2 linked regions of the Coturnix japonica genome follow. The protein of the gene in region 2 binds, or shares a complex with, the protein of the main gene of each other region. Links are inferred from orthologs where the notes say so. Each region holds a gene or a part of one and is shown on either strand. Other genes may lie near its edges. The genes, in order: HSPB8 and BAG3.

Evidence for each region.
Region 1: BAG3 (region 2) and HSPB8 share a complex: the UniProt entries of both Homo sapiens proteins name them as parts of the chaperone-assisted selective autophagy (CASA) complex. The link is inferred for Coturnix japonica from reciprocal best matches to the Homo sapiens genes BAG3 and HSPB8.

Annotation. Positions count from the first base shown.
Region 1 is NC_029530.1:8,626,030-8,630,540, forward strand, and holds the start of HSPB8 (heat shock protein beta-8), read right to left. Parts: upstream 2,833-4,511; 5' UTR 2,405-2,832; coding exon 2,035-2,404; intron 1,272-2,034; coding exon 1,208-1,271; intron 509-1,207; coding exon 349-508; 3' UTR 1-348. UniProt on the Homo sapiens protein: Involved in the chaperone-assisted selective autophagy (CASA), a crucial process for protein quality control, particularly in mechanical strained cells and tissues such as muscle. Displays temperature-dependent chaperone activity.
Region 2 is NC_029521.1:27,003,681-27,007,488, reverse strand, and holds the end of BAG3 (BAG family molecular chaperone regulator 3), read right to left. Parts: coding exon 3,745-3,808; intron 1,389-3,744; coding exon 615-1,388; 3' UTR 59-614; downstream 1-58. UniProt on the Homo sapiens protein: Co-chaperone and adapter protein that connects different classes of molecular chaperones including heat shock proteins 70 (HSP70s), e.g. HSPA1A/HSP70 or HSPA8/HSC70, and small heat shock proteins (sHSPs), e.g. HSPB8.

The sequences.
Region 1 (4,511 bases), on a different chromosome or scaffold from region 2:
CCAAGGGGCCAGCGTGGAGATGGAGTTCAAAACAAAACCAAAAACAGAGAAGAAGAAGACACGGGACCACGGGGTTCCACTTCAACTTAAGAAGAGAAAAGGGCACTTTTTCGCTATTGTTACAAATATCCCATCTGCTCACCTTACAGCATTAAAAGAACCGTAACGAAGACACCCATTCTGCTGGGTCTGATGGATGCAAAGCCTCTACCAGAGTGTCAGACCACTGTGGGGCAGCTGCTCCCAGGGAGCGGGAGGGGCCGTGCCCCGGGGCCACCCCGCTGGGGCCCGAGGAGCGGGGTTGGGGGGGAATAGGGTCGGGGGAGTGGAGCAGGGGCACAGGGGCCCTCAGGCACAGGTGGCCTCTGGGTTCTCTAATGGGATCTCGCTGCCACAGCTGCCCTCGCCGTACTGCTGGTAGGGGGGGATCTGGGGCGCCTCGATGATCAACAGCCCCTCCGGCGACAAGGAGGCAAAGACAGTGATGGGGTCCACCTCGTAGGGCAGCCTGGAGGGGGAGAGAGATGTGTGGGGTTAGGAGATGGCGCAGCCATGTGGGGCTCACAGCCTTCCCACTGAGATTGCCCAGCAGGAACCCTGTCTGGGCTCACAACCCCCAGTTGTGTTACTGCTGCAGTGCCTGGGAATGCATAGGGATATTTAAAGTGGCCCCTGGGCTGCCTGGCGCTCTGTTTAATCTCCGTGGCAGATGTGTTTGATGGGACGTCACTGCTGCCCGCGCTCGCCCGGCTGCTGCGTCGTGCCCATGCCTTGCCCATAAAAGGAGCCTGGCTGCTGGCTCCCACCCGCAGCACACGCGGCTTTGCTGGGAGGTTTTGGTAAAGCGAAGCTGCAGAGCCACTGCTGCACTGCTGTGGTTTGCCCTCGGTGCTGGGCTCGCCTTCCCTCCCTGCTGTTGTTGTTGCTGGGGTGAGTCAGCGCGATAGCAATCAGACTGACATCACTCAGATGTGGATGTGGGTGCACGTGTGGCCGCACACCAGGGATGGGTGTGTTTTGGGGCTGGTGATGAGATCAGCCCCAAAAGAGGAGCACGGTGCTTTGCATCCCTTTCTGCTTTCATATCTGGGCTGGAGGAGCCCACAGGGCTGGTTTGGGGATGGGAACAGCGGGGCTGCGGCCATCGCATGTCATGGGGATGGGGCTGTATTTGTGGGAGGACGCCCCGGGGCAGGGTGATACCTACTGGATTTTCTTGGTGAAGTTCTTGGAGACGATGCCTCCTTCCACCTGCTGCTCCTCGTGTTTGCCTGCGGGGAGGACAAAGGCGTGTCACCACCACACTAGGCTCAGGGCTTAAGCCAACAAGCAAAACAAACCCCAGGAACCCTTCCAAAGGAGTTGTTTTCCCTTCCCTCCGTGGGTGTCTCCCATGTGAGGAGGGTTACACCACAACCAACGAAGAACAGCACTAAGCGTCTGGCCTGTGAGGCTGCACTGGTTGGAGCAGGAGGAGGAGGAAGAGCTGCTCTCCCCGCCAGACACCTTTGCTTCCCATGGAGCCTGAGCCCTGCTTGCTGCCAGGAGCCAGGGCTTAAGAAGGAGCCATCAGACATGATCAAATCTTTGGATCCCATCCCCATCCTCAGCCGCTCTGCTGGGCTGTGTGCAAGCCCTACGAAGATGGGGCTCAAGCTCTGAGGCCTCCTGGCTCCCCCCAACCCACAGCATCCCCCCAGATCAGCCCCTGGAAGAAGTGCTGCGTCCTGGCACGGTGCTGGCAGCCCCAGGAGGTGCAGGGCCCTGGCCAGGGCGCAGCGCTGGAGCTCTGGGAGGTGCTTCAGGCTGCCTCGCTCTCGGCCCCTTTAAAGGGAATCTCCCTCAGCTCCGTCCTCGCTGGCTATAATTAACCCAGCCAGGCTGGGGCCCCTCTCGGCAGCTCGCAGCTGGGTGCCAGCTGGAACACAAATCCCAGAGATTCACCCCAAAGGAGGCTCGGCCTTCCCGTGTTGGTGCTGAGCACGCCACCATGGTCCCCAAGCCCCATCCCACTCCCCAAGCCCCAGCCCTCACCTGACACCTCGACATATCCATCCTTGGTTTTGACCGTCAGCTCCTCAGGCTTGAAGCTGTGCACGTTGACGCACACCTTCCAGGGCTCGCGGGAGGTGGGCACAGGGCTGCGGCTCTCCGGGTACCCCCCAAAGCGGGTGCTGTAGCCGGGGGCCATGGCGGAAGCGCGGGCACGCAGCGGGCCCGGCCAGGTGGGGGTGAGCCGGGGCCGAGCCCAGTCAGGCCAGTCTGCTGTCAGGTCCCCAGGGAAGGGTGAGAGGCCAAAATCATCATCCAGGAGGCGTGAGGTCAAACCGGGCTCTCGGAATGGGTCGCGGAGGCTCCGCCGGCCAGGGTAATGGCAGGAGAAGGGCAGCTGGCTGTCGGCCATGGCTCTATGCTCCTTGTGGAGCCTCAAAGGCTGCGGAATACCCCGGGGAGCCCAGCCCAGGGCAGGCACATCCACACGCGGGGGTTTGGGTGGGAGCCCGGCACCGGGCAGAGCGCGATGGGTGGAAGAGGTTCAGCAGGGCTGAGGCATCCGGAGCTTGGAAAGCAAGTGTGGGGAGGACGGTGTGAGCTGCAAGAAAACGCTTCCTGATTGGCTTCGGTCCCAGGGATCGGGTGGAGGAAAATAAAACTTCTTGTCCGGAGAGGGGGGGGGAAAAAATCAAACCGAATATCCCGAGATTAAGAGCTTCTCTCTCCCCTCTTGCTCCCACAAGCACTGTGCTGCTTCCCCACCGCTCCCGGGTGAGAGCTGCAATAAATGCCTGAGCTCCGAGCCGAGAAACTTCTGCAACCTTCCACCGCCGGGCGAGCGCTATTTATACGCTTGCGGGAGGGGGAGGCTGTGTTTTGCAATTCCTGCCCTGTCAGCCGAGTATTTTGGAGAGGATGAAACAGCCGTGGAGAATCCGGGCTGTGCAGCTGACCTCCTGCGCCGGCCTGAGGATCCCAGCAGGCGCGGTGTTTTTGGCACCTGCCTAAAAATAACTGGGGAGCTCAGGGTGGGCTGCACACACTCCTGTGTCACCCATCAAAAATACCCCCAGGTGGGGCCGGGCCCCACACTGCACACCCACTGCACCCGGAGGTGCGTCACCAGCAAAAAGTGGCTGGGATTGTGAGCTGATGCCCAGGGCTGGGCCTGGAGCAATGCCCCAGAATCATTGGGGTGGGAGTGGGACCCTACGTGGCCCCGTCCTCACCCACCTCCTCCTCCTCCTCCTCCTTCTCATCGCGTGCCTGGCCGTGCCGCAGCAGGGCGAGGCGTAATCACAGCCGCGCGGGGCTAATTACAGGGCTGTAGGGGATGGGGTGCGGCGGGGTACCTGGAGCTGGTGGCACTGGGGCTCCTGGTGGCAGTGGGGTTCCTGCAGAGGGGGTCCCAGCACGCCGATGAGTGTCACCAGTGATGTGCCAGATGCTGCACTGCTTCCTCGCTCCCTCCTGTTTCTACCTCGCTTTCCTCAGCATCTGCAATCTCTCTAATGGACTTGCTGGAATAAATTGCAGCAGGAAGGCCGTAATGCGCTGCAGGCCACGCTGCAATACAGCCGCTGGTGGCTCAGAGGGCATTAATCATGGAGCAGAGACATGGCATCGCTGGGCAGGGCCTTTGCCTGCATGGGGAGCGGCTGCTTCCTGCCCTTATCCCTCATCTTCACTGGTGGGCATGGGGAGACACAGCCAGGCATCATGGGGTCTCCCCAGGGACTGGGCTATGACTGGAGGTGTGGGGAGGAGCAGAGAAGCAGCAGTCAGCAGAGGCTGAAGTGTCCTCTATCTCTTGCCCTGCCTGGCTGAGTGCTCCCATCACCCAGAGTGACACCAACACACAGTTTGGGACAGCCCCATGGCCGCCTCCATCCCTACCACATTTCACCCCGAGATCTCCAGTCCCACATTTCCCGAGTAGCTCCAGGCCATCCTCCCTCCCAGGCCAGGAATCCGTCTTGTCGCCTTGCTTATCCCCATTAGTCACACGTCCCTCTCCAGGAATCCCAATTTAGCTCCTGTTGTCACTCCAAATCTCCCAGTCACCTCCCACAGCTGCCAGCACCGCCACGTCAGCTCTGGGGAGCGCAGAGCCCTCCTGTCTGCCAAGCGACCTGGGGACACTGCCCCATGTCTGTGTCTGTGCCATGGTCAGACCATTCCCAGGTGCACATCTCAGCTGCCCTCAGGACTTGGTGGCTGGTATTATCAGGGGACACAGAGCATCCCCACTGCCCCCAAAATGGTGTAAGATCTAACACTGCTGGCTTGAGCTGTTTGTAAGCTGAGGATGACCCAAATTGCATGGCAAAGGGCAGTGAAAGCCTGACCCAGCTGGCAGGAATTTGAGCTCGCAACAGTTCAGCTTCAGTCCCTGCCCCATGGACCTCATCCCCAGCAGCTGAGAGCGCAAGCACATGCCCTGCTACACCCAGCAGCTGAAGCAACCCAAAATATCCCACTGCACCAAGCCACATCCAAAAGGAACATGAGAAACC
Region 2 (3,808 bases):
TGCATTTGAAACCGATTGCAGCTCTTACATCTCCAGCTCATAAAATCACAAGACTAAATTAGGCTTCTATATTATTTTATTTCCCTCTTAAAATATAGCATTGAAGTCCTGCACACATATAAATATCCCTACAGTTTCTTACACACTTTCTACCCACCACTGCTTAAAGTGCCCAACTGTGAACATTAAAAATAAAAACATTGCTGTTACATGAGTGGCTACACTTAAAGAAGGACCAGCATTCCAACAATGCAGGCCTTTGATTGTACAAAAATCACCTGCAGAAGAATACATCCCAAACAACACACATCAATGTTAACCCCAAAGTTGTTCCTTTTCTTTTTATTTTATTTTTTTTTCCACTCAGAAGATCTAAAAGAGATTAATGTACAGAGTTTGTTTTTGAGAACATGTCTTTACATAGTGTAAGAATAAAGGATAAATGCATTACTTTCTTTCTAACTCCCTCCTTCCCCACAAGTGTTTACTGCGTCCCAAGCTGCTATGTTGATTAAAAACCAGTTGAAAAGAGCTCTGGAAATGCATGCAACTTAAAATTCACTTAAACACACTTTAAGTTACGAAGTCTGAGAGATTTTAATTTCAGCACATAGCTATGGCTCGGTTGGGTTATTAGATGTGTTTGTGGTGGTGGTCAGATTGGTAAACACTTCTTCCTTAGTCTCAGGCTGATGTCTTTCCATTTTGCTTTCCTCTTTAACATCTTTATTACTGGTATCTCCCTTGCTCTTGACTACCACAGGTTCAATCTCCATGATTTCCTGTGGTGGCTTAGGCTCTGCCAAGGTTGGCTGAAGTCCATCGACTTGAACTGGTTCTGGGACATCTTCTGCTTTCTGTTCAAGTCTTTCCAAAATGTTCTGGACCTTCCTTACACCATCTCTCCTGGCCTGACGCACATCCGCACGACCCTCGGGGTCCACCGAGTCTAGGGCTAGCAATTCTTTGGTCAAATACTCTTCAATCATCAAGTACTTTTTGTCAGTTTTCTTGCCTTCAAAGGAGTCGACTGCCTGCTCAAGCATTTGTACATTCTCCAGAATTGCCTCCACTTTCAAAACACCAGGATGCTTTTGAGGTTCTGCTGTTTCCGTTGTCTTCGATGTCACAGTTTCTTCAGGAGCAGGCCTTTCCTGCGGAGGAACAGCCTTAGCTGAACAGGGAACCCTTTTATCTGCTTTCTCTGCCATGGCTGGAGGCTTCTGAGGTGGTATTTTAGTATCTGGTTCTCGGTAGGTGACCGAAATTGGAATATATGTTGCAGGCACCTCAGTTTCAGGCGGTGGGATTGTCTTGGTTTCAGTTTTGATTTCAGGTGGTGGAGATGGTCTTGGTGGCTCTGGAGGAGGGACTTGTTGCTGAGAAACCTGGTGAGGAAGACAAGTTTATGTTGAAACACAGTCAACAATGTTCTTATTTCTTTTTAAAAACAGGTAATAAAATCATAAAAATCAAAAGCTTAGCCCAAGATAATTATTATTATTTGCTTTTAGGAAAGGATCCCAACTGCAGGTACTCAAACTGAAATCTAGAAAAACACCCTGATTTTCAGGAGGTGTCAGCATCTTTTCTTCTGAAATCCAGACCATTAAGCTATCTCAAATTGGAGTACACATAAAAGCCAGCAGATGCTCTTAAAAATCAAGGACTTAACGCTGAAGCATAGGAAGTACATTAGAGGTTGTTGCCAGGCATTTGGCAAAAGTACCCCCAAAGGTACACTTCCCTGTTGCCTTAGAGTGGTCCAGTAAGAGCAAGAGTGAGAAAGCTAAAAACAGGAATGAAAGCAGATGGAATAGGGATGGGATAGTTTCCCCATTCTTCTTTTTCTGGCAAAACCTCTAGTTTTGCCCATCCAACTTTCAGCTGTGGCAGATGTAGGCAAGCTGTGAGCCTCCCTTTTTGCTCCCTAAAGCACCATCCACATCACAAGGACTTAAGCAGAGCTACAAAGCCTTCAAGCCCAACAGGGGTCTTGTTTCACACTGCTCTTGTTATCCTAATTAGCTATGAATTTTCATTACATACTCTTTTCCCTGTGTAGTGCTGAACTTGAGGTTTCTAAACCACAAAGCTCTGTGCTCAAGAGATGATAGGTACTGCTTTTAAACTACTGCAATGAGTACCAGCACCAATCAGTTCTCAAGATACTAAACTACAACTGACTAAACTTTGCTCATGCCTGCTAAGATCAGCCCTACAAGCAGTTTTATAAGGTAGGACCTTCCAGCAAAGCTCTAGCCTGACTTAAATAAGATTTCAGCACGTGTCTTCAGCATCAACACTTCATTCTTAGAGTGTCAGCAACAAAGAGCTACTATTTCTTGAAAAGCTATCAGTACTTTGCTGGGCTTTAATCTCATCTGGGGCTATTCTCATTTCATTTTCCTACTTTCAAGGTAATGTTTTTGTTAGTGCTTAGTTTTAGTGATTCTATATTCTCAGTTTTACATGCAGAGGTTACTATGTCAATCTTATTATGCCAGAGTTACTGGAGACAATCAGAATGATTGCTAGAGATGTAACAGTCATCAAGTCAGAAAATTCTTAAAACTGATAGGAGTGATGAAATCCTATGGGAGAAACTGAATTCTTGAGACTTGTATTTTCCTTGTTTTGCCACCTCCTTCACTTACCCACTGTGTTTGTACATGGTTTTTGGAAAGGAGGTAGATTTGGCTCTCATTAACATACCCACATTTATATTTAAGCTATATATACTGGCCTGCACTGACACTGTTTTAACCATTAAATATTAGATTTGTTTAGGGAGCTCAAATTCTCACCTTCTAAAGATAAACTAACATTATAAACTATATGTCAGTCTTTACTCTTTTGTCCTAACACCTGGTTTTCCTGTCATTCTCAGCATGGAATCTCTGAAGAGAAGGAATCCAGGGTTGTTTTTATACATCACTCCTTCCCCTCCCATAGCAGGGAATTCCTAGTAGAAGACAACTCAAATAATGTTGAAGAATTCTTGACTCAAAGGACTTCTAACTGTAGCTTGAGTAAGAATATTTTGTTTAATGTGAAAAAAAGTATATGCTAAAAAGGGCAGCAACCAGCATCAAGTATTATTCCAGAAGAGGTAGATTCACAACTCACACTTCTCAGAAGTTTTTTTTATTTACAATTTCAATCAAGACTGAGTCCTCCCTGCTGCTATGGAGTCTATTTACTAGTAGCATATTGCTGGAAGAGGAAGGGTGTGTAGTTTTGGTCTTTTTTTCCTGTTTTATTGTTTGTTTGTTTGTTTTTTCCTTTTTGCTCTGGTTATAAAGTATTCTCAGATTAAATTGTGCCGATTCTCTTTCACCATAACTAAAATTACTCTGTGCAGTTGCTGCTCTCCTGAGTGGTTCGGAGACAACAGCGAGGTATATTTACAGATACCACAAATCCCATGGACTTGATTGGCTTCTCAGTACCATAATGCAATATCACTGACCTCAGAGTAATTGCATTAAATTATACTCTGAGAGGAAAGATCACATCACGTACTAGAAATGATTTGCTTAATGTATTTCGACAATCCAAAGACTTCAGAATCCTGATAGGTGGAAAGATGACTTGATGGAAGCTTATCTCAGGATCTCAGCAAGTTTAAGAAATGCTTTATGTGCTTTCATGTACCTGTGGGTATGAGCCACTGTTTCAGCTCTAGCCCAGCACGGCTAGCAGAGATAAGTGGAAGGTAATAACCCTCCCCGCTCTACATACCTGAGGTCTGTCTACGACCGTCTGTACTGTGATGGGAGTCGAGGGCTGTACCTGCTGGGTGATA